Linked DNA regions of Schizosaccharomyces pombe. Changing the gene in region 3 together with the main gene of any one other region gives a genetic interaction. Each region holds a gene or a part of one and is shown on either strand. Other genes may lie near its edges.

Region 1 (7,353 bases), on a different chromosome or scaffold from region 3:
ACGCGTCTAAATCTTCATCGTTATCCTCTTGCTTAACTTCTGGGGTTTCACTAACAGAATTATGAAGTCCTTGAGCCATTTTTCTTTCCTCTAGGTAAATTCCATGAGTAGTATTTTCTATACATGTTAATTGAAAATAATAGTTGCTTTGGTACCTTCAGACTCCTTTTCTAAGATCAGTTGCTGTCCTTTTGGAATGATGCATTCTTCTATACTTAAGGAAGTCATATTTTTCCAATGAAATTGGATGTTATTTTTGATATCTCTAGAATTACTAGTATTGTCATTAGGTTTTTCCTTGACATTAGTAAACTTGGCTAAAATTTACAAAATACCTGTTGACTAAGGGAGGCTTCCTGGTAAGACGATCCTAGAAAAAGGGTCAATTATAGATCGTGTAAAATTACAAATAATACCTTCTTTAATTGATCGGTTAAATTCATTGGCAAGCGCAGCAAGATAAGGTGATTGAAGCAATGCATTAAACAATGCAGAAGTTGTAATAGCTTTAGGGTTTCCAAAAACAGCACCCTCACAACCCTGAAAATTAAATGACTCTACTTGTATCCAAGGAATAATGCCTGATTGACTAGGAATTAAGTGAATTAAAAAATTGCCCAATGTCACGATACCTCCTCTTAAAGATGTTATCCTTTTTTCAGTAAAACTAAAAATCACAATCAATATTGTGCTGATAAATTGAAACATACTTATTTAAGTCCGAAATGCTCTGAGACGAAAACTCTGCTTCAATGTAAAACTCTGTATCGGATAGCTTGCATCGAATTGGATGTTCGTATCGTATATACTGAAGTTTAAATATAGTCAGAATTGGTTCGAAAGATAGAAGATAAAGTATAATACCTCAAATATTTGTAAAGGCTGACATTTAAATACACGTATCGGAAGGACATCTGCGTTTTTGATCAAATTCAATAGTCCATTCTCAAGCCAAGGATGTTTTAAGCAATTTGACATTGCACTGTTTAACGCAGCTAACTTTTATATAAAAATCAACTTTTTTTAATAAGTAACAGTGCTGACTGAAGTCTGTTGATATTTAATCGTCTACTTTTTTTCTTGAAAGCAAGGTCAGCAGAACACTGCATTCATCATTTCCTCAAAACAAAATAATTGAAATATTATCATCAACTCCAAGGACTTGGTTCTTCTAGTTTAGTTACTGTCAAAAGCACTTTCAATCTAGATTTTGGATAACAACTTTTCAGTATTCCAAATCTTTAGAAGTTACTACTCATGTATTTAGTAATGGTTCATCCAAAAATTTATAAGAGAAGAATCAAATAATAGCAGGTTGCTGTATCTCCCATTAACAAAATTGACTTACTTCAAAGGAATTGCTGTAACCTTCTACCCCAGACGACAAAACTTGAAAAATTAGGCAAGAATTTTCTTTTGCTTAGAACTGTTTTATAAAATTTTGGTGATAAGTTAATAAAGGGTGGAATGAATTGGCTTAAGAATGTACTGAGTTATTTAGTTACTGCACTTATTACTACAAGAATTTTAACCACGCATTTTAAATGTGCGGATATCAAACATACTAAAGATTGAAGCAATTACCGGACATTTATTTATAAAAGATCAACAATACAACCAATCTGCTTTTCAATTTTATTCTTTATACTACTTCAATTTGCTGCTGCTAAGTCTAAATTGGTGTACAGAAATAAGTAAAAAAAATTTCATAATTGAAAGAATAAATTAGCTTTTTTCAGTGTTGTTAAAGATCTCAATAGCTTGGTACCGTGCTGAACAGTGTTTACATCTATAACTCAACTCACATTTAGCCTACTACCACCATTTTGTAAATAAACTTATTTGTGCAATTTTTTGGTGCGATCGGTCCCATGAAGCTAAAACATTTTTAAAAGCATAACAGCTGATGTTGCGATGACAAAAGAAATTGCTGTGAAGGAGGCTTCAAATATGCTTCTACAAGAACCTTCAACCCCATCATCACAAGCTGTAGGACTGAGCAGCTCACCTAGTAGTTCGATTCGTAAGAAGAAGGTAAATTTTAGTAGTGAACTAGAAAATTCCCCCGGTGGAAATCGACCATCTTTCGGTTTACCCAAACGAGGTATCTTAAAAACTTCAACACCTCTATCTAGTATCAAACAACCAAATTTTCAATCCTTTGAAGGAAATGAATCTGAAAAAGAGACTTCCTTGCAAGAACTACAATCCTCGTTTTGTTCCGGAATAGAAAATCTTCAACATGTTGAAAAATCTGCTCGAATCGAAACATACTCAAAACTGTCTTCCTTTTTGAAAATCTATACACCAAGTCTTCCCGAGGATCCAATATTCCCCCTTTTAAATCAACTTTGCAATTTTTTATTATCGGATAGATGCTCTAACAATTCAGAGGGTAGTCCCGATTTTCAATTGAATACTCAAGCAAACAAACTTCTCAGCATACTTCTTTGGCATCCAACTATTTCTTCTCACATTCAACCAGAAACTGCCACAGTCTTCATTGAGCAGTCGCTGAATTTTTTAGAAGGACCAAAGTTAACTAAAGCACTCGCGGCTCAGCATTTGCATCTTCTTTCTTGTCAAAAATGCCCTCTTTCCATTCACCCTTTATGTAATCGTATTTTAGACGTGTGTTTTAACATTTCATTCCCTTCCCTTGTTATAGGTCAGGAGCGATTAGCTGTCTTAACAAAAATTTTAAGCCAATTTCCACTAGAATTTTCGCGTCGTGTAGTTGATTGGGCTCCTTATCTGCTAGCTTGTTTAGTTGATGCCTCAAGGCCTATCCGTGAGAAAGCGTTATTACTTGCTTTGGACCTGAGCAAACATTTGTATCACGACAAGTTAGTCGCACGGACTATCCTCGCTAATTTTAGAAGTGATATTAAGGGAACTGCATTTGTTCTTATCATGACAGAGCAATTTGAGAAGCTTGTCATTGAAGAAGACGACGGTGTCTATGTGGCTCATGCCTGGGCTGCCATCATATCAGTTTTGGGAGGTGCAAGAATTTCCTCATGGGAATACTTTAACACATGGCTTAAAATTATTCAGCTTTGTTTTAACAGCATGAATCCTTTAACTAAGTGTGCAGCCCAAACATCTTGGATCCGTTTAATTCATGAGTTTTCTCTTTCTGAAACCCTCACACAAGCTACCAAGCGGTTAACTCTTTTGTGTCAGCCTATTTCCATGGTTCTAGGTTCAAGGAATTTGCCAACAGTAAAGAATGCAGCAATGACTACTTTGATTGCTTTAATATATGCATGTTTGAGGCCCGGAATCTCTGATGCCATGCTCTCTTTACTGTGGGATTCAGTTATTGTCAACATACTTGAAAAGTGTGCCTTGAAAAACGAGGTTACTATTTTTGAGTCTTCTAACATACTTTTGGCTCTCTTTAACACGCTGTCTAATGGAGTTTGGAAAGATGACCGCTTGGTTTGCCGTGAATCGGTAGAAGCAAAAGAACTTCCAAAGCTCAATCCTGTTTGGGTTCGTGCTAATTGTAGTCGGACAATTGAACCGGTCAAGACTTTACTTTTATTAGCCAAACCAGATCATACTGTTAAAACCACTACGCCTGCTCGTAAACAGCATATACGAGGTCTTAGTTATGAACAAAGTTCGTCTGTTTGGAGTACTTATATAAAGTGTTTGGCCAGTGCTGGACAGAAGGAAATTAAAAGGTCTGTAGAGACTGGCCGAGCTATATGCTGCATATGCTCATCGCTTCACAAATTTTTATATTCGAAATCTATTCGTAAAGATGAACTGTATGTGGAAAGAGTCTCGAGGTTTGCATTAATGGTTAAGTCTGCCATTGAAGCTTTTGGTATTAATACATTCGTCGAAGCATCATATCTGGTTTCCGATAATCAGCTTGTTTTAATAGATCAGACAAAAGCAATCGATAGTTATGATCATGTCCCAATTAGCCCCTTAATTTACTTGCTCCACTCTCTCGCTCTTTTAACAAACGGCACATTATTTTCGACTGTACATGCCGCTTACAGCAGTATTCTGTCATCCATTGAAGAATATCATTTAAGATTTGGTTTAAAACTTATGTTACTTTGGGATTGTGTATCTCCTTTGAGTGACGATGGAACTTTAGTGCTTGCGAGAGTTCTCGTTTCCCATGAAGTATCTAGGTTGACCTCGGAGGCTCTGCTTTCAGAACTTAAAAGTCGGAATGGAAATAATTCAGTAGAAGAAGGATTTTCAGAAGAGGAGCGATCCATATTACTTAAACTATTAAGTTGGAATGTGAAGTTTTGCAGTATTAGTGATGCTGGTAGTGTAAACAATCTTCTTCAACAATACTTTACCGCTATTTATAAATTTGAAGGATGTGGTAGCGTTTTTCCTTTTGTCGTTGATCCTTTTACTACAATCCTCGATGATGTATTAAGTTTTGAAGCAAATAAAGTTTATTCATTTGCCATATCTTTGATGAAAGTTTCTACTTTTGAAAGTTGCACAAAGGAGCTACCACCTGTAACATTACCTGAAAATATCAGACAACACCTGGATAGTTACAACCACATGGTCGAATTGTATAATACACTGTTACAAAGGTTATCAAGTTCCGATCAAGTAGATCTACAGTGTCGCTATCTTCATGAGCTTTCTGAATTTATAAAGAAAATACCCAAAGAGTTCATTTTTCATACTATTTGTAAGTTGTCTAAAGGTTTGATACCTTGCTTCCTTATGAACGCTTTTCCACAATTAGAGAAATCTACCACATTACAAAAATCATGTACCAACTTTTGTATATTAATTTTGCAGCTGCTACTAAATTCCACTGCTACAGCTTCTAATATTTTAGAATCTCTTTCTCCGCTGTTGACATCAGGTCTTAAAAGTATTTCAAAAGAGGTGGTCCTTGCTGCTATCAAGTTTTGGAATCAAGTTTTTGGTAAATTTGAATCGGAAGAATACCCTATTGAACTACAAAAAACAATATCGTATCTGAGCAAAACTTATATTATTCTTTTACCGTTTCAGTCACTATGTCCTGGTGGTAAGCAAGCCAACCATCAATCGAGCGAAAAGATGTCGGATATATTAAAAGGAGTTGATGAGTTGCGATCTGTCTCTAAGAATGGTCCTTATGCTTCTTCACAAGATAAAGGAGAAAAGACTACCGAATTCTCTGGTCCTGGTAAACCTAATAACGACAATTACATACAGATTGCTTCTGTGCAAGAATTAGACGACAGCTCAAAAGGGAAAGCAGGAAAAATGCCAGCGTCTAAGAAAAATAAAAGACAAAAAGGTGATGTTAAAAAAATTGATGAAACAAAAAATGAAGCTACTGATATGGAAGAGTCTTTGACAACACCGTCTGGCAAGGTCAATAAGGAAGTAATTGTAGACGATACTTCTTTAAGAGATGAAGCAATTGTACCTGATAAAGCTATAGATGTGGCAGACAACTCTAACGCTCTTTTAAAGGAAAATATTTCAAGCCAAAGCAATAGGAAAGCTGATAATAATGGAACGCCGAGTGTCAATAACTCCTTCACTACAGCAAATAATGATGAATGTTCAAAAGAAAATTCTCAGATAGAACCAGAAGGGCAAACTGCCTCTCGTGAAGGTGTTCTATCTACTCCTCGCAGTACTAGAAAGAAACGAAAACTTGGACGTAAGAGCCAATCTTCCAACGTGAATAAGGAAGTTGCAATTAGCGAAGTGTCCGCAACCTTGGAAAATGTGGAAGTCATAGAACGACATGGGATTTCAGAACAGGGACAGAATCTGGACGAATCTGCTTGTGTACTTACTAATGAAAGTAGTTTGAGCCAAACTGAAATACCAGAGGAAAAAACCGAGAATGAAACAACTGCAGTTAACGGATTTGAAAATTCCAAGAAACGACAATTTTCGAGCTTACTTTCAGGGTCCATTGATACAAACAATGAATCCAACAAAGTTTCATCTGTAGAGTTTGATAAATCTGGTCCTCAAGACATTATACAATCAATGACGGAAGCCACTTTTGAAATCGAAAAGAATATACAAGATTTAAAATCGGAGGAAGTTCAGAAGCTTAGTGATTTGTTGATGAGATTACAGAGAGCTATTTTATCTAGAATTGCTTGATTATTCAACTCATGGGTACAGGAATTACGGACCGGCATTGGGGTCAATTTAGTCATAAATCAATCTTATTAATGGGGTTCATACTGGCATTTAATATATAACATATGTATATAGATAAGAACTTTCTAGTTTCAAGAGGATAGAGGTATGCGTATATGTGATGTGTCCAAATATCTTATATCATCAAACCAATGATGTTGTAACGTCTCTTCAATAGTAATGCGATCATGCACATTTCTATCAAGCATTCGACAAATTAAATCGACATTATCTTTCGATAGTTCAAAAGGAATTCTAAGTTTGGCGTCCAAAATCTCTTCGATCTAATAATTAGTTAGCATACCATTATAATAATTCTCTTACGTTATAATAAGGGTTTTCCCGATAAACTATCGTGTATAATAAAATACCCAAAGCCCAAATATCCTGTTCTTTACCGAGATATTTTTCACCTCTTAGTAGCTCCGGAGCAGCAAAACCAACTGTACCCCGAAATGTATCAAAAGGCCCGTTTTTCGTAAGGCTCGAACTACCGAAATCAATGAGTCTTGCACATCCGTTTCCTTCTAGAATTACGTTTTCATCTTTGATGTCTCGGTGGATTATGTCAAAAGAATGCAGATGGGCAACAGCTAATGCGATTTGGAAAAATATAGCCTTGCTCTCTTTCTCAGAAATCGATGGTTTTAATTCGATGTAATCAAACAAATCTATTCCAGGCTTTTGGGGCTCAGTTAACAAATAGTAGTTTTCATTGTCTTCAAAAAAAGTTATCATTTTTACGATGTTAGGGTGGGAATGAGCTTTCAAAAAATGAAGTATACTGATCTCCATAGGTACGGTTCCAAGATCTTTATCTCGCATCCATGAATCCAAAAGTATCCTACTTTTACTAATTGATTTCAAAATAACTTCATGAACCTTGTTAGATTTATAAGTTGCAAGTTTTACTTGACCATAAGCGCCTATTCCTAATTCCTTGATAGTTGTATAGCTTGCGATGTTGTGTGGTACAACCTCCCATTCCGAATCAACGTAATCTTCGTCTGCCGAAAGGTCTTCTTCTTCTTCACTCTCGTCAGAAATAACGACTTCTTCTAAGATCACAGAGGAGCGCATTGATCTTACGAAATCAGACGCACGATTATCCACTGAATCAAATATAAGCCATACTCCAAAAGCGGGCTCATTAGACTTAACAGAATGAGGTGAAACAGAAATAATCTGGCAATCAAT
Region 2 (7,939 bases), on a different chromosome or scaffold from region 3:
TAAGACTGCGTATCTCAAGAAAATGGTTTCGTTGTTAAATATAAGTTTCACGTTAAGCAAGTTTCGATACGGTCGTATGCTTTGCTTCAATTCAATCTGAATCGGTTTTTTCAAGATGATCTCTTATTAACATTTCCTTGATGGATACACCTTGTTGTTTAACAAACTCTTACTAATTTTTAGGGATGAGGCGTCGGATCAGGTGAAAGGTTATGGAGGTAATCGCTACAAGAAATTTGACAGCTATGAGGCTGCTCAGGAATTTTGCAGGACCGAAGGAAGTCGCTACTCCTCGTCTTCTGGCCCATATCGCCGCAGTACAACAAGTTATGGGTACTCTCCATATTCTTCTAGTTCCTCAAATTACTCTGCTAGACACTCCGATAAATATAGAAAGAAAATTTCTAGAAGTTATAGTACCGAAAAAGATATTGAAATATTTTCGAATGACACTCATGAAAAATCAATTGCGTGCTCGGATCGACAGGTCGTCTATGCTGACGGTTCTAGTTTGCGAAATGGGAAAAAAGGAGCTGTTGCTGGCTGTGGAGTTTTTTTCGGAAATGATGACCCAAGAAATATTTCAGTACCGTTGGCTGGGGAAGAGCAAACCAACAATCGTGCGGAATTGCAAGCCATAATCCTAGCCCTTGAAAATACATCTGGCGATTTGACCATCCGCTCTGACAGCAATTATTCCATTAAGTCACTAACCACATGGCTGCCTAAATGGAAGAAAAATGACTTTAAGACTAGCAATTCACAACCTGTAAAAAATTTGGATTTGATCAACCGCGCTTCAGATTTGATGAGTGACAGAAATGTTTCGCTAGAGTACGTGAAAGGACACAGTACCGATTACGGTAATCAACAAGCCGATATGCTTGCTCGGCGAGGAGCTTCTGAGTAAATGGTCATCTATGATGAGCGCTGTAAAAAATGGATATAGGTACATTCTTTTGAAATTTGCCGTATAATTTTCGTCTACTCTTCGCTGGTTGTATGTGCTTTTTTTGTTCTCGTTTTGCATAATGCTACATATTTTATTGTAATTAAATATCATGCTATTATAACAATTTTAAAGAGGAAATTGAAAAGTATAGATTCGGAGCTAAGATAATTTTATTATTTAACGTTGAAAATGACACTTCGCACTAGTCAACAATTCCCTTTTCAATTAAATTTGGTTCGGTGTCTTAACGGCAGTCATCGAAATCATATTGCAATGGACTTAGCAAAGAATTAATAACAATTCGCTTCGTAATGAATTTGAAAAGGCTTAAATAGTGGTTTTGAAACGAACATTCACAGTTAATAGGTAGTTATTTGACTAACGTGAAGAAAGTGTACCAAAAATACTTTGAGTTTAGACAATGGGTGTCTCTAGCTTTTACCCACCTTTGCATGTACAGCGTCGAAGGAAATTATTTAAAATACTTCAAGGAGGCTTCCCTGTGCGATCTTTGTTAGACATTGGATGTGGAGATGCTCGTTTTCTATCATATTTAGTACCTTGCAATGATCAAGTGCCTATAGAATTTCTGGCCGGTATTGATATTAACGAACAAAGTATTGAAAGAGCTACTGAGGCTTTACAGGTTAGAACCGAAGACTTTTTACAACTACGTTGGCGACCGCTACATATTGAATTATTGCTTGGTAATATTAAAGATTTTACTCATTATAAACATGTTGATGCGGTTGTAGCTTCAGAGTTTATTGAGCATTGTCAAGTTGCAGAGATTTTAGCCTTTGAAAAACTTGTTTTTGGAAACTTGAAGCCCAATGTTTGCGTAGTGTCAACTCCGAATTTTGAATTTAACACAATCTTTGAGAAACTATCAACCTTGACAAGTAGTATATCATCTCGTACTTCTACCAATTTTAGACATCCTGAACACGTTTTTGAATGGGATCGAAAAGAGTTTGCTAAATGGGCTTATAAAATTTGTAAAAGATACCCAGAGTATACTGTTGAATTTACGGGCTGTGGTTTGCTAAATGATCTAATAGATGGTGACGATTTGTTACATTTTCGCCCATCATCTACTTACGGTTTCTGCACCCAAATCGCAGTATTTCATCAATCTAAAAACAATGCTGCTTCTCATTGCTTCTTAAAAGACCAAAATTCAAGCATCCTTCTTTACAAAAAGATTACATACCCATTTATGGAGCAACTATTTCCTCCAACAGTGCAGCAATTTATGAATCTTCTGAAAAAAGCATTTTTTGATCATTTATTTGGACGTCACTGTTTACTTTTATTCCAGGTTATTGCTGGCAAGTGTGCTTTGTCAGTAAAATTACCTTTCTTGTTTATCTGGGAGTCTTCGCCTCTCATTCGACATGCCTTCCATTATGATGATTCAATTTACTTATCATATTGTCCTGAATTAAAAAAAAGCAAACATAAAGGTATAGCTTTGGCAAACTCGTTTAGTTTTCGCATTGCAAAAGTACTTAAGAAAAGTAGAATTTTTATTATAACTTTTCATCATTACGTTTGATATACACATTTAGTAATTAAAAACATCCATCTTTTTCACCAGGACATTTCATCAAATCTTTTCAGTAAGTCAACAGATTGCTGAAGTTTCTTGTGTTCTGCAATTCGCATATAAAATATGGGGCAGTCTCTACTGGTACAAATGACGTCTTGATGCATACTTCCTTGGCATCGCTGACATTGAGTCCATAAGCGAGCAAAACGAACTTCTAAATCATTCACTTGAGCAACCTGACGTTGATACAGTTCCGCCGATCTATTTAGACAATTCTCACATAAAGCAGTTTTACCTTTTTTTATGGGAGCTTTGCATCCAAGACAGGTCTCAACCTTTACTGCGAATTTCATTATTCCTCCAACACTGGGGGCTGCCATGGAAATCGTCCGAGTATGGTCACCATGAAGTAAAGAGCTAGCTTTTTCACCAAGAATAGGCTCAAAAATTCTAAGCAAAGGTTTGGAGAGTTGATTTTCCAAATAATATTTTGCATCAATAGGAATGTTATTTTCCAATACATATATAGGGTCCTCCGACCTCATATAAAATTGATCACCTTGTGCACCTTTAATAATAACGTATGCAACGCGATCTCCTATGGCTGGGGCGGAGCCAGCATCTCGTTTACGCATTCGCTCAGCCAATTCAACGTGTGCCATTTTGGCAGCATAATCAGTTTTTGATAATGCCTTTGTGATTACAAGTTGTGACATATCAATTTTGTTTTGTAACAAATCGGAAATAACTTTTTTTGTAAACAACTGTGCACCCTCTACATCCTGATCAATTAACATTTTTCTCAAAGCTGTGTCAATCACATAAGATACTAGAGGACAGTTATCTCTTCTGACAGTTTCTATTCCTTTAGAGTCCATTTTATCATAAGTATCTGTACGAGTCCAAAATAATCCTGCATAACGTTTTTTGGAAATTAAAAGATATGGAAAGTACACTTTCTCAAACTCCAGTTTAATAGGATTCGGAAACTGGTCTGAAACATAATTAGCTGCTTCCTCTCCTAATTTCATGGCTTCAGGTAACGTTTTAACGCCAAACTTAACCATAACAGAATCAGTGTCACCATAGATTACAACTGCATCGTGAGAGTATCCATTCTCAATTCTGTATCTCTTTTCTACAACATCCTTGGTTTTTTCAATCATTTGTCGACCATAAGAGGTAACAGAAGAAGAAATTGCTAAACACGGCAAACGTCCGTTGGTAGCACCAGTAAATCCATATACTGAATTAGCACTTACTTTTAAAGCTAGCTGTCTACCATCCAAAACAGCCTTTTTGAATGGGTCCGTTTCCTTTTTTAGATCTGCTTTTGCTTTCTTACGTGCATTAAGTAAATCAGCTAAGATAATAGGGAGTAGTCCTTTACGAACATGTGGTTTAACGAAATAATCTCCGTTCGGAGTCACTGAGTAGTCAACATCTTGCTTAAGTTTTAATAATTCTGCAGTATTTGAGTCAAGTAATGTCGTATAGCATAAATTATGGGCTTGCATAATCGAAGGATAAAGTGAACTAAAATCCAGTGTTGCAATAGGGGTATCATAGTATCCTTTAATCGGTTCAATGACTGTAGCACCTTCATATTGCTCATCTGTTCCATTTACACGTATATTTGGAACAACTAGGTCATGTTGAAGAGCTTTGCGAAACAATTGAGAAATAACTTTAATCTGTTGGCCTCTAGCAAGAAGAAAATTAAACGGTACACCTGTTACTCTTGCCATTTCAGTATAGTTAACAAAACACATTAATTTGTCCATTAAGCGTTGGGGTAAATATGCATCTTTCAGACAATAAATAGCTAAACGTCTTCTAGAATCGGCAGTGCCATTTTGCAAGTCAGTGATGATAGAATAGTGTACATCTTCTTTTTGCTCGCCTAGAAACTGAGAGCAGACTGCATTTAAAGAGTAAGATCGAAGCTTAAAATCACGCTGCATTACTTGTAACATATCAAGCTGCAAACGCCCAGGAATACTAGTGGTTTTGCTTTCACGAGTACCATATGCTTTACTTGAAAACGTGGTTTCCTTTGCGACAGAAAAAAAATTATGAATACGGCCAAGTAATGGGAAATTGTGAATGCGTAAGCTTTTTGCTCGATCCAAGAGGTAAGGGATATCAAAGTTGCAGATGTTGTACCCAATTAAAACATCTGGGTCAACATCACGAACAAATTTTGACCAACTTGAAAGCATTTCAGCCTGATTTTGAAATTCATATACTTGTGTTCCAACGATTTGTGAGCATGTATCAACACAAAAGACATTACGAACAAAAGGAGTGGAGTCTCCATACTGCGTTACTATACTTGCAATTTGAATTACAGGGTCAATAGAGGGATCAGGAAAAACGCCTTTGCGACCTGCGCATTCAATATCAAAGCTCATGATCCTCAGTGGGGCCATTTTAGACCACTGGCCTTCAGCTGGAAGACTGATCAAGTCTTTGTAATTAATCCAAGCTTCAATTTGACAATTAGAAACTCGATTCTGGTAACGAAATTGATATTTTGAAGCAGGAAGATGAATCCAATTCATACCAACAACATCACAGTCAATCATGAATCTAAGAAGATATTGCGTATTGCTCTCAAAAGTAGTGACACCGACACCAACAGGGAAAAGCTCTTCGAAGTTGAATTCTCCTCTTTCAAATACATTTCGTGCTCGAGATAATATACGAGGGTTAGTAGTAAAGATTTTAATGAATGGAGATTTTTCATTTCCCTGAAATCCATATAAATTTTCCTTCATCTCTATAATGCAATGATCGATCACACCCCCATTACAAGTAGCATCTAAATCTTGTGTGAAACGTTCTAGCATCTCAGGTCGAAATCCAACCGGGGCTTTAACATAAAAGTACGGAAGGAATCCCACAACATGAACAAGGATGCTGTTTCCATTGTCAGTAACACCAAACAAACGAATTGAAGGTACAGATCCTTCTGTGAACTCCTCACTATCGATTTGCTGAAAATAAATATCATCCTTCTCAGGATTTATTGCAGGTAAAGCTGGTCGTTGCCACTGCTGATCTTTTGAAGCTATCAAGGAGTCAGTATACTAATAAATGGTTAGCTATCCAAAAAACCTTACATTTTATTTCATCTTGGTCCAATTGTGAAGCGTATTCAGCCAGCTCATCCTCAAAAGATGAAGTTTTTTCTTTTGAGGATGAGCCCTTTTTATCACCATATCCATTTCTTTCGCTTAAACGTCGCCGTTTGACATCTGTAATTTCGCCATGAATTGAACCATTTCTTCGGGGAAATGGATAGTTTTCTTTATTTAACACGACGCCCTCATTTGAAGACCTATCTGTCATTCTAGTAATTAATTTTTTATTTATTATGAAAATTAGAACAGAAAATGGTAAATAAGGAAGACACCAAGCTTACATGCTCTTGGTTTTTGGTAGGAAGACGAGCAACTAAAAGGGTTTTGTAGGTAACAACAAATAGGTACTTAGGCGAATATCTTGTAGGTAAGTTCAAAGCGTACACCAATAAATTTTGGTATGAGTGTCAACTGCTGAAAAGGTAAAACCACATTAAATAGGTTAGCTGTCAAATTACGATGGAGAAAGAAATCAAATATACAAGTTTATACCAATCTCCATCAAGCTACATAAACCACTACTTAATGTATTCTTGGGCATAACAAAAGACTAATTTATTATTAATGGAAGATATTAGTAATAAAAAGGACGCAATTGTCCAAAAACAAAAAGAACTAGATTCCAAGCAATAGGAATTAAGAAAACTGAGCAGAGTCATCAGCCTACAAACCGACAATTCCGATAATTTATTCTGAGACTTTGTTTACCAACGCCTAATGAATAATACAACATCAAGGTCATGTCAGTTAAACCAATACGATAACATTAACAGTAAATACGTAAAGAGATAGATTAAAAGCTGTGTCTGAAAGACAACTAAAAGAGCGAACCCTATACGGGCTAAAACCAAAACGGGATTTTAAGAGAGGGGTAAAAAATAAGATTTAAGAAGAACGAGGTTCAAGTGAGAGTGATTTATCAAATAAATAGGACAGATCTTGGTTAACAAAGCGACACCGATGTAAAATATAGCTTTGAAGATCAGTATTAGATTGCATTTCGTAAGAGGAGGATTGGAATCGGCACACATCTGCGACGACATCGGCAAGTCGATGCCGCTTATTAAAACTTAACAGATGTGGAGATGAATCAAGAACATCGGGGTTACCTTCATCGATAAAAGTCAAGTCACTTAATATGACACCCAAAAACGGTACGCAAGGAAGTTCAGCCTTGCGAAGTAAAGCACGATAAGTACTGAAATTTTTCTTTGTTTCCACGATTTCACGTAAACCAGACAGACATATTATGTCTTCAGCTTTAACAAGTTTGTACGCTGCATGTAAACGATAAATAGGAGCAGAATTTAAGGCAGAAACAATAGACATTAGAGTGGAAAAGTTTTGGAGGGACAAGCACTTGTAGGCAGTTTGTATAAAAAAGGATATTACTGCTGTACGAGCTTTGGTATTCTTTTTCTCTAAAATACAATTGATTATCCAATAGGTGAAACAATTCGAAAAGTTTATATAATTTCGGACAGCGCTGCGAGAATCGCGACTAACCCAGCTTCTAAATATCCATTCCCTCGAAGGAATCTGCTTTAGATAATCAAACTCCAATAATGTCATCTGGGAAGCAAATTCTTCAGGAGTATAAGCATATACGTTTAAAGAAATAAAAGTAGCCATGGGAGAAGATAATAGGCGTTGGGTTAACGAATCTGGAGGCTCTTCAGTCCAGAGATTGTCAATTTCCGATAAAATTACACTGCCAATATGAAAAGATGGAACAACATGGTCACGTAAAAAGGTACGCATCTCCGAAATCAAATAAAGAGTGTTACGGGCTTTTAAATCTTCAAAAAAGTATTTTTGAACCCACAAATTCATAACGGTGCAGACGTTCTTCTTGGTAACAAAATTATCTCCCTTTTCCCAAGAACTATATGCTGTAGCATCTAATCCTGGTGGCGGTAACTCGTGAAACAGAATGACAAGAAGCGTAAACAATTCCTGGGGGGTAGTGAACGTTTTATAAGTCAAAAGAAACGAATGGCGAAAATCTTTGTTCAAGTGAACGTTCTGGACAAGGTAATGCACGAGGGCCGGTAAAGTTCCACCTTTAACATTGTTATCGCTTTGCACAACTTTATTGGTTAACAAATTATCCAGCATCAAAATTGATTGCAAAGAGTTTCTGCCAAGTGTTAAGGTATCCTTGCTCATCTCGCTAACAGCGGTAAAATCAGAACTTCTAGAAATTCTAGTAGTACCTTTGTTAGTTTGACGAGCCGGTTCGTCATCTTTTGCTGTGTTTGCATTTGAAAACTTGTTTTCAAACTCTTT
Region 3 (7,806 bases):
ATGTTACGTAAACTCAGCTCTTAGAATTTACCAAGATACCTACACATTCATATGTAGCAATATTTAATCTCTTTCCACTCGATTATACTTGTAGATACAATATTGTTGAACCTGGAAATTGGAGGGACTTGACTAATCCAAATTGGACTGTTTAGTAGCTGCAGCGAACATCGTAGGATAAGCTTGGTATTTCGTTTTAGAAAATCAGAATGGCTACCAAAGTTGAGGAAATAAACAAGCTGAAGAAAAAAAATCTTCATTTTCGACAATGCAGTGCTGACAGCTTGTCGAATTCCTCAATGCAGTTTGATTTGTCGGGCCTAAATACACCGGTTGGAGAATTGGCAACTTCTAACCTCCCTTCACCCGCTCATCCTCCCTTTGGTGAGCTTCATCAAGAATCTAGGACTTCTAATTCCTCTGCGATGCATATAGAGAATGTGGTTGCTTCCAGGCTTATGTATAATGAGGTTGCGAATGGCTCCTTTGCCTTGGAACCAAAGAATATACTAGTTGTAACGAAACCTCGAAAGCATTCGTTAGTTTACAAGACGGCAGAAATCACAAAATATATACTCACAATCGGAACACCGGAAACCAAGGTATATGTGGATATGAGACTAGCTCGTTCCAAGCGCTTCTCTGCTCATAACATCGCTAAAGAAGCAAATACCGACATTGACCGGATCAAGTATTGGAATCCGTATATTTGTTTGATTAAACCAAGTATTTTTGACTTAGCTATAACAATTGGCGACAACTCTACATTATTGTACACATCGTGGTTATTTCAAAAAATTGGGCCACCTGTTCTTTCCTTTTCCGATGATGATGTCCCTGGTTTTTTGACTCATTTTAGTTTATCTAACTATCAGCAGCATTTGTATCAGGTCTTAACTCAAAACGTGTCACTCAGGTTTTGTTCGCGGCTTCAGTGCTCTTTTCATAAATACGATGAAAAAACTAAGCAGTATTCTTTGGCTTCCACAACATACTCTCTTGATGAAATACTCATTAGTAGAGGAGAACATCCATTTATTAGTAACTTGAATGTTTACAACAATTCCGAACTTATGACTGTGGTTCAAGCTGATGGACTTGTTGTAGCTACTCCTACAGGATCCACCAACATCTCAGCGAATGCTGGTGGTTCTCTGGTACATCCTGCACTAAATGCGATTTTAGTAACACCAGTTTGTCCTCATACGCTTTCTTTCCGTCCTATTATTTTACCAGATTACAATGTTTTGAACGTTGAGATCCCTTTGGATTCTCGAAGTAGTGCATTCTTTTCCGTTGACCGTCATGAATCTGTGGAGATGCATAGAGGCGACTATTTATCAATTGTTACGTCTCATTACCCTTTCACAACCATTCAAAATCCAGGATACCAATGGACCAAGGTATTAGAAGATAAATTCAATTGGAATGTGCGTGAGCGTCAAAAGCCCTTTTCTAGAAAACCAAGCTTGAGTGATGTTAAGGATACAAGTGACGATAAATTTGATATTACAGATAATTCCTATTGCAGAGAATTTTCTGCAGACATTGATGGTTAAATTGCTATCCATTTTTCTTTTAATGACATCTGACTACTGTTGAAAATACTTAAAATTAGGCACACACTGCCTCTACGAATCATGGCGAATTATTGGTTACGATTGTTTAGATATCTGTTAGTTTTTTGAAAGTTTATGTTAATTATTATTATTATTATTATTTCAACTTTGGTATTAACGAATTTATATTCATAATGTTTACTCATTGTTCAGTTCATACTCAAAAGCCGAAAAAAAAAAGAAAAATGAATGTTAAGGATCCCTCGATAAATATGTAAAATATTTTTATAACAAAAAGAACGTGTGTATATATAACAAGAAAGACATTCGTATTATGCTCTGTAGTCTTTGATTTTCAACAACGACCTATGGTTTATGGCTCATGAATAATACCAGCTTATTCGCTAAAAAATTAATCAGTCTGTGCAATTGAACGTACAATGCGATGTCCAGCACTGGTAATAACCTTAATACGTCCTCGCCTTTCCAAAGCACCCAGACAAGCTTCGAAATCAGAAGCATCTAAGCGAGTAGAACTCTGCTCACGAAACCGAGTTAACAATTGACTGACCAACATAGTTTTTCCACCCACAGTTAAATTTGAAATTAAATTCGCCAGTTCTTTGACCATATCTTCAGGTACCAAAGTCTCTCTTTCATTAACATAAATTAGGTCAAGAGAAATCTTTCCTGTTGCAGGATCAGTTGCATAATCCTTAATAGCGGTCTTAATCAAGCGAGCAGCTTCAAGAACATCTCCTACCTCAACAACGTTGCGAAGATGCATTTTCGCATGGGCCTCAGATAGACGAATCATTGATTCCAGTTGTCTTGTTGTAGCAGTAATTCTTTTCTCAGATGCTCGCACATCCTCCCCAAGCTTTCGCATACCAACATAAGCATTCACTAGTTCCTTTGCTGCCTCTTCACTAATGACAGGATTAATATTATTTCTAGCATATGTGATATAGCTTGTCAAAAATTCCACACTAAAGACCTCCATATCTGTAGCATGTTCAGGAGTATCTTCCATGTACATAGAAACAATATGATTTGCGAGCTTCCTATCCAGCGTTTCATCCACGCGGTCTAATATTAAATACACCAAATCAAATCTAGATAAGAGAGTAGGCGGAAGATCAATATTTTTGGTGACAGGCAAGTCTGGATTGTATTTGCTTCCAATTGGATTTGCACTAGCTAAAATAGAAGTCCTAGCGTTCAAAGTAGTAATAATGCCAGCCTTGGCAACTGTAACGGTTTGCTGCTCCATAACTTCATGAAGAATAGAACGTGTAGCATCGGACATTTTGTCAAACTCATCAATGCAGCAAATGCCCCCATCTGACAGTACCAAAGCACCACTTTCCAAGACTAGTTGCTTCGTGTCTTGGTCACGAGTAATATAGGCAGTTAAACCAACAGCAGATGAACCCTTGCCACTAGTGTAAACACCTCTGGGTGCTATCTTATGGACATACTTCAAAATTTGAGACTTAGACGTAGATGGATCACCACACATCAAGATATTTATGTCTCCACGATATCTCGGACTTGCGCCTTTATGAAAAGACTTGTTCGTTCCACCAAATAGCTGTAGCAAAAGCCCCTTTTTAACATCATCCATTTCGTAAATGCTAGGTGCCAGAGACCGGGAAAGAATATCGTATATATCGTCCCGCTTTGAAACTTGTTGAATTTTTTCCACTTCTTCGTCTGATATTTTCCGTACTTCATCAATTTGTAAAGCAGCATCTTCAGCAATATCGCTTTCCAACGTAGAAGGATCCGTACCCAAACGACGTTTGTCCTGCTTTTTTATGTGAACAACGTCGACATAAGTTTTAAATAATGATTTTACAGTACGCATGCGAGGGTTCAAACGAACTGGTACACAGCGAAAAATCCCAGTGACTTCTATACGATCTCCTGCTCTAGCAGAGTCAACCAGTTCATCATATACGCACAGACTTACAGAGTGTGGGGTTTGGCCATCCGGTACCACGTCAGGTGTCTCTTGGAGTTTAATAACTTGCTTATCGGCGAATTCAGAACGATTATGAATTAGCTGCATTGCATTTGTAGCACCACAGACTTCTCTAGGGCATTTTATGGGCTCAGCAATTCGCCCTCTATCGATTTCCACGGTAACACAATGACCACAAACTGAACATCGAAAAAATGCTTGCTTCATGTCGGGTATTACAGGTGTACACCTAAGTACCAGACCTTTAATAGAGATCAATTTGTCAATGTCACCAGGATTAAGATCACGCATATTAATGCATTTTTCAAGATTAAAAGGACGAATTTTGTAAATTTTAAGCTCAATGTCATTAAGAACATCTTCGGGAGGATTAGTTCCTAACAAGTCTAGCATAACGTCTTTAATGGTTTGATCCATGATAGGAATGATTTCTTGAGGGTATGAGTAAAGCTGGTGATATAGCTTCTTGGTTGGGGGATAATGCTTTAAATCCTGAACATCAAGATTTAATATTTCCAAACCCATAATACGCATGTTTCGTAGCGCTTCAATATACACTAGTTGTTCGGCATCAGGAGGTGGCATAAGTTCATTTCTGTATTCAGGTCGATACTTTTTCTTAAACCCACGTAGAAATCCACGAAAGGAAGCGATACTTTCTTGAATAGATACATTTGTTCCCCAAATGACACGGACAGTGTCATCAGCTACTTCACTGCTTGGGTGCGCCTGACTAAACGTGAGTGCATCTGACCCAGAAAACAACAAGCTACTAGGAGTGCTTACCCCGGGACGTTGAGGGTCAACTTCTCTTCGACGAGATGGGGTAGACATTTGCACGCTAGAATGGATGTCTCCACGTCTTGTCGAGCGCGGTGTTCTCTGCGAACTACTGTCAAGGAACAAGTCATTACGCTGAGATAAAAGATGAGAACGTGAACTCTGAGGAATGTTTGGACCTGGTGAACTAGATTCAAACAGTAAAGGAGAGGAAGCGAGAGGTGTACGCGCTGTAGTCCTCGGTGTTGTAAGGCGTGTAGAACCAGGAGACGAAGCAGGAAAAAATAACGGAGAAGAATCCACTGCTTCTCTTGAAGAGCTGTTAGCTCTTCCAGGAGTCCTCAACTCATTGGCTCTGCCACTTTGCTGACTAGAGGACATGACTCGTGGTGGGTGTAGAAAGACAGTGTAAGGGAGTAGAGTAACTACTCATAAACATACAACAATGAAGAGATAAATAGCATAGCAAAGATTTAAATAATTGGAAATTTGTATAATTTTTTAACAATTTGTCATATTCTCCATTGATCATCAAGCTACCAGTAATTGACTATGAAAATGTAAACTAAAAAACTTTGCGACACTAGATATTAGGATCAATTAAAGCAAATTTGTTATCATAAATAAGGTATTATGAATTTGTTATTGACTTACTTCCTTTTAAGTGATATTCTATTTTTTTGGACGAATGAAGAGAAATATGAAAAGAATGTTGAAATAAAGGATTACATTGCTTTAATTAAACGTTATGCTAGTTTAACATTTTGAGATGATCGTTTTTGCAATTTGGAACTACCAGTTGTATTTGAAGGTCGAATCTATTAACTGTGATTTGACGCTAATTGAAGAGGGCAGATGGTGATTTAGTAATTTTACTAATAATATTTCTTAAAATAAGGTTTATTTTGAATTTTCTCTCATATTGAATACCTGAGTTGTTATTATATTAACCATTTGTAGAGTTCATTTGACCATTCGACTACTGGACTGTCTCTAATAAAAAAAACTTAAGTCTGTATATTATGAGTTATATGGTGTGAATTTCAAATAGTGTATGAATGTATTTTTCTATTATTTCTAGTGAAATACCATTGTGTAGGACGCATACTTTTTCTCGATTATGTTTTGCTCTTCAAAACCTGAAAGGATTATAGACATTTATTGTATCTTGATTTTCTTCTATGTATAATTGGTGAAAACTGGTTTATTCTGTTTTACTATTGATGCCATTAACGATGATACAAAAATTGGCTTATGTCTTTTCAAGGCCCTTTAAGAGATGAATTCCACTGCATAGTGGAACGTTCCTTTTCCTTTTAAAGTGTAGTATTAATTTGCTATTAAAACATCTTTTTAGGCGAAACCATCAAATGCGGCTTGATAAATCAGCTTCAAATATTAGAGCAGTTAACCACCTAAAAAGATTGTCTATTACATGATAAAAGATGATTATAGTGGCGACAATTAGAAAATTAAATGATTTTGAGAAATCATGTCTATAGACATGATACGTTTGTGTGGATTACTTTGCTCACTTGCACTGTGTACACTGCATACTCAACTATACCACAACAATTCACAAGGTCAATAATCGTGAGCTTTTGAGTTGACAAAAAATAAATTACAAATGGAATCAGTTTTTGGAAGAGTAAGAAACGAGACTAGCGAGAGAGGAAAGTATGGATTAGTCTCCGTAAAAGCTGGAAAACTTCAAAGAAAGCCAGGAACGAATATTCTGCAAGCTGATCACCGAAAAGGGTATGTACTATAATAATAATATAGATAGTAGTCCTTTCTACTGGGAAAACGAAATTCTACCCAAAGAATTGTTTATGAAGCTTCTTTGCATGTTTACGTTGGAAGGATGCGTGAAAATCCACACTGTTGGGTTTTGTGGAATTGTTTTCTGTTTATAAAGTTAAAAGATCTGATTTTTAATACTGACATTTGTTTAGAGTTATCTATATGCAAATGGCTTCTGATGAATTATTGCATTTCTATTGGAAAGAAAGGGCCAGGGTTTCTAGAGAAGTAGAAGATGTATGAAGACAATTTAAATCAATTGCAAAGTATACCTATTTATATATATAAATTTACTTTTGCGTTTTTTTTTTTTTAATTTGGTTTATGTTTACTAACATATAATGAAGGACTACATCATATTTCCAGAAGAAGCAGAGTTTATCAAAATTGATGAATGTACCACGGGACGCGTATATGCACTAAAATTTAAATCCTCTTCGCAGATTCATTTTTACTGGATGCAGGAGTATAGTGATGAAAAAGACAAGGAAACAGCTTCCTTAATCAATCAATTAATTGCTGACCCTGTGAATACGACTCGGACTATCAACTCACATAATAATTCTAGCAGTAGAGGTACGGATGATTCATCAACCAGCCAACTGCTGCAACTGTTTGGTGCAGCAAGCCAAGATGCTCTGCAAGACTTTAACTGGGAAGTTTTATCACCTACAGCCGAAGCACCGGCTATCCTGCCAAGATTTCCTAACGTTAACGAGTCAGCAAACATGTATCGTGCGTCAAGTGAGTCGAATTTGAATGGACCACATGCTACAGCTGGTGAGAATGGCGAAGATCACGAGGAGGCAACGGCCTCCCCTTTGGATGAAAACATCGATTATACTCATTCACGTACGTTGGAATTATTAGAGCAACTTCAGCCCTTGATTTTGAATGAAACGACGTTTGTCGAGCCTTTCTCCATTGACAGAGAATCTCATCGTGTGATTACACATCCTAGAGTGTATCCCAAGATTTTCCCACATTCTCCTTCCGACCTTTTGCGCATCAGCGGTCGTGCAGAGTTGAGCGAAAATCGAGATTTTTTTAAGCACTTGTCGAGTTTAATGGAGGCAGTTGCAAAACCCGAGTCAGAGTCGTTGCGTGAAATTTGCAACTTGAGTTTAGAGCAAGTGCAAAGTGCTAGTGGAGCTGAATTATTTTTGCATGCGTTGTACGACCGTTTGGTGAATGAAGGGGTGATTGTGATTTCGCACATAACACAAGAAGGTTCTGATGGCGAAGTTGAGGAGGAAGGAGATGTTGAAATGAGAGAAAGTAACGAAAAGGACGAATAAGAAGCGTGGAGAGGAAAAGACGAATTCGTATATATATATTTTAATATATGTTATGTTTATGAACAACAAGCTAGCACAAAGAACGTGATGTAATTGTAAAAGTAGAGTAATCGTATTTCAACATTTAAGCTTCCTTTTTTTTTTTTTTTTGTTTATTTGTTGTTGACGGGAGAGGATTGTTGCAAAGTACTTGTAGGGGTATAACAGCTTGTATAGGGAATGGTTTCACCTTTCTCGTTTATCTGATATTCTTCCAAATTTACAATGAATTATATATCAATTGCATTAAGCTACATATCGCAATATCATTAAGAATTCAAGAAATACTTCTCTTGCGTGAAAGAAGTCTTTAAGCTGCTTGAACATAAATCAAAAAAAA

Evidence for each region. Genes that interact genetically often act in the same process or in processes that back each other up.
Region 1: of mcm4 (region 3) and rif1, a mutation in one rescues a mutant of the other (synthetic rescue), as found in Schizosaccharomyces pombe (one study listed by BioGRID).
Region 2: mutations in mcm4 (region 3) and cdc6 are lethal when combined (synthetic lethality), as found in Schizosaccharomyces pombe (one study listed by BioGRID).

What each region holds. Positions count from the first base shown.
Region 1 is NC_003424.3:2,764,456-2,771,808, forward strand, and holds rif1 (telomere length regulator Rif1), read left to right. Parts: upstream 1-1,817; 5' UTR 1,818-1,914; coding exon 1,915-6,117; 3' UTR 6,118-6,248; downstream 6,249-7,353. Other genes in the region: tpz1 (telomere-protecting protein), read right to left, coding at 1-117, 156-297, 336-370, 417-667, 711-808, 865-978; serine/threonine protein kinase Ppk6, read right to left, coding at 6,249-6,440, 6,481-7,353. UniProt on the Schizosaccharomyces pombe protein: Negatively regulates telomere length. Appears to play no role in transcriptional silencing of telomeric loci.
Region 2 is NC_003423.3:2,741,762-2,749,700, reverse strand, and holds cdc6 (DNA polymerase delta catalytic subunit Cdc6), read right to left. Parts: upstream 5,940-7,939; 5' UTR 5,859-5,939; coding exon 5,630-5,858; intron 5,578-5,629; coding exon 2,546-5,577; 3' UTR 2,511-2,545; coding exon of another isoform or gene 1,374-2,510; 3' UTR 1,105-1,373; downstream 1-1,104. Other genes in the region: ribonuclease H Rnh1, read left to right, coding at 184-910; hen1 (S-adenosylmethionine-dependent methyltransferase), read left to right, coding at 1,374-2,510; Ras guanine nucleotide exchange factor efc25, read right to left, coding at 6,536-7,939. UniProt on the Schizosaccharomyces pombe protein: Catalytic component of DNA polymerase delta (DNA polymerase III) which participates in chromosomal DNA replication.
Region 3 is NC_003421.2:897,303-905,108, reverse strand, and holds mcm4 (MCM complex subunit Mcm4/Cdc21), read right to left. Parts: upstream 4,722-7,806; 5' UTR 4,708-4,721; coding exon 1,972-4,707; 3' UTR 1,684-1,971; downstream 1-1,683. Other genes in the region: SPOM_SPCC24B10.02C (NAD/NADH kinase), read left to right, coding at 210-1,559; 19S proteasome regulatory subunit rpn1302, read left to right, coding at 5,954-6,084, 6,282-6,366, 6,477-7,427. UniProt on the Schizosaccharomyces pombe protein: Acts as a component of the mcm2-7 complex (mcm complex) which is the putative replicative helicase essential for 'once per cell cycle' DNA replication initiation and elongation in eukaryotic cells.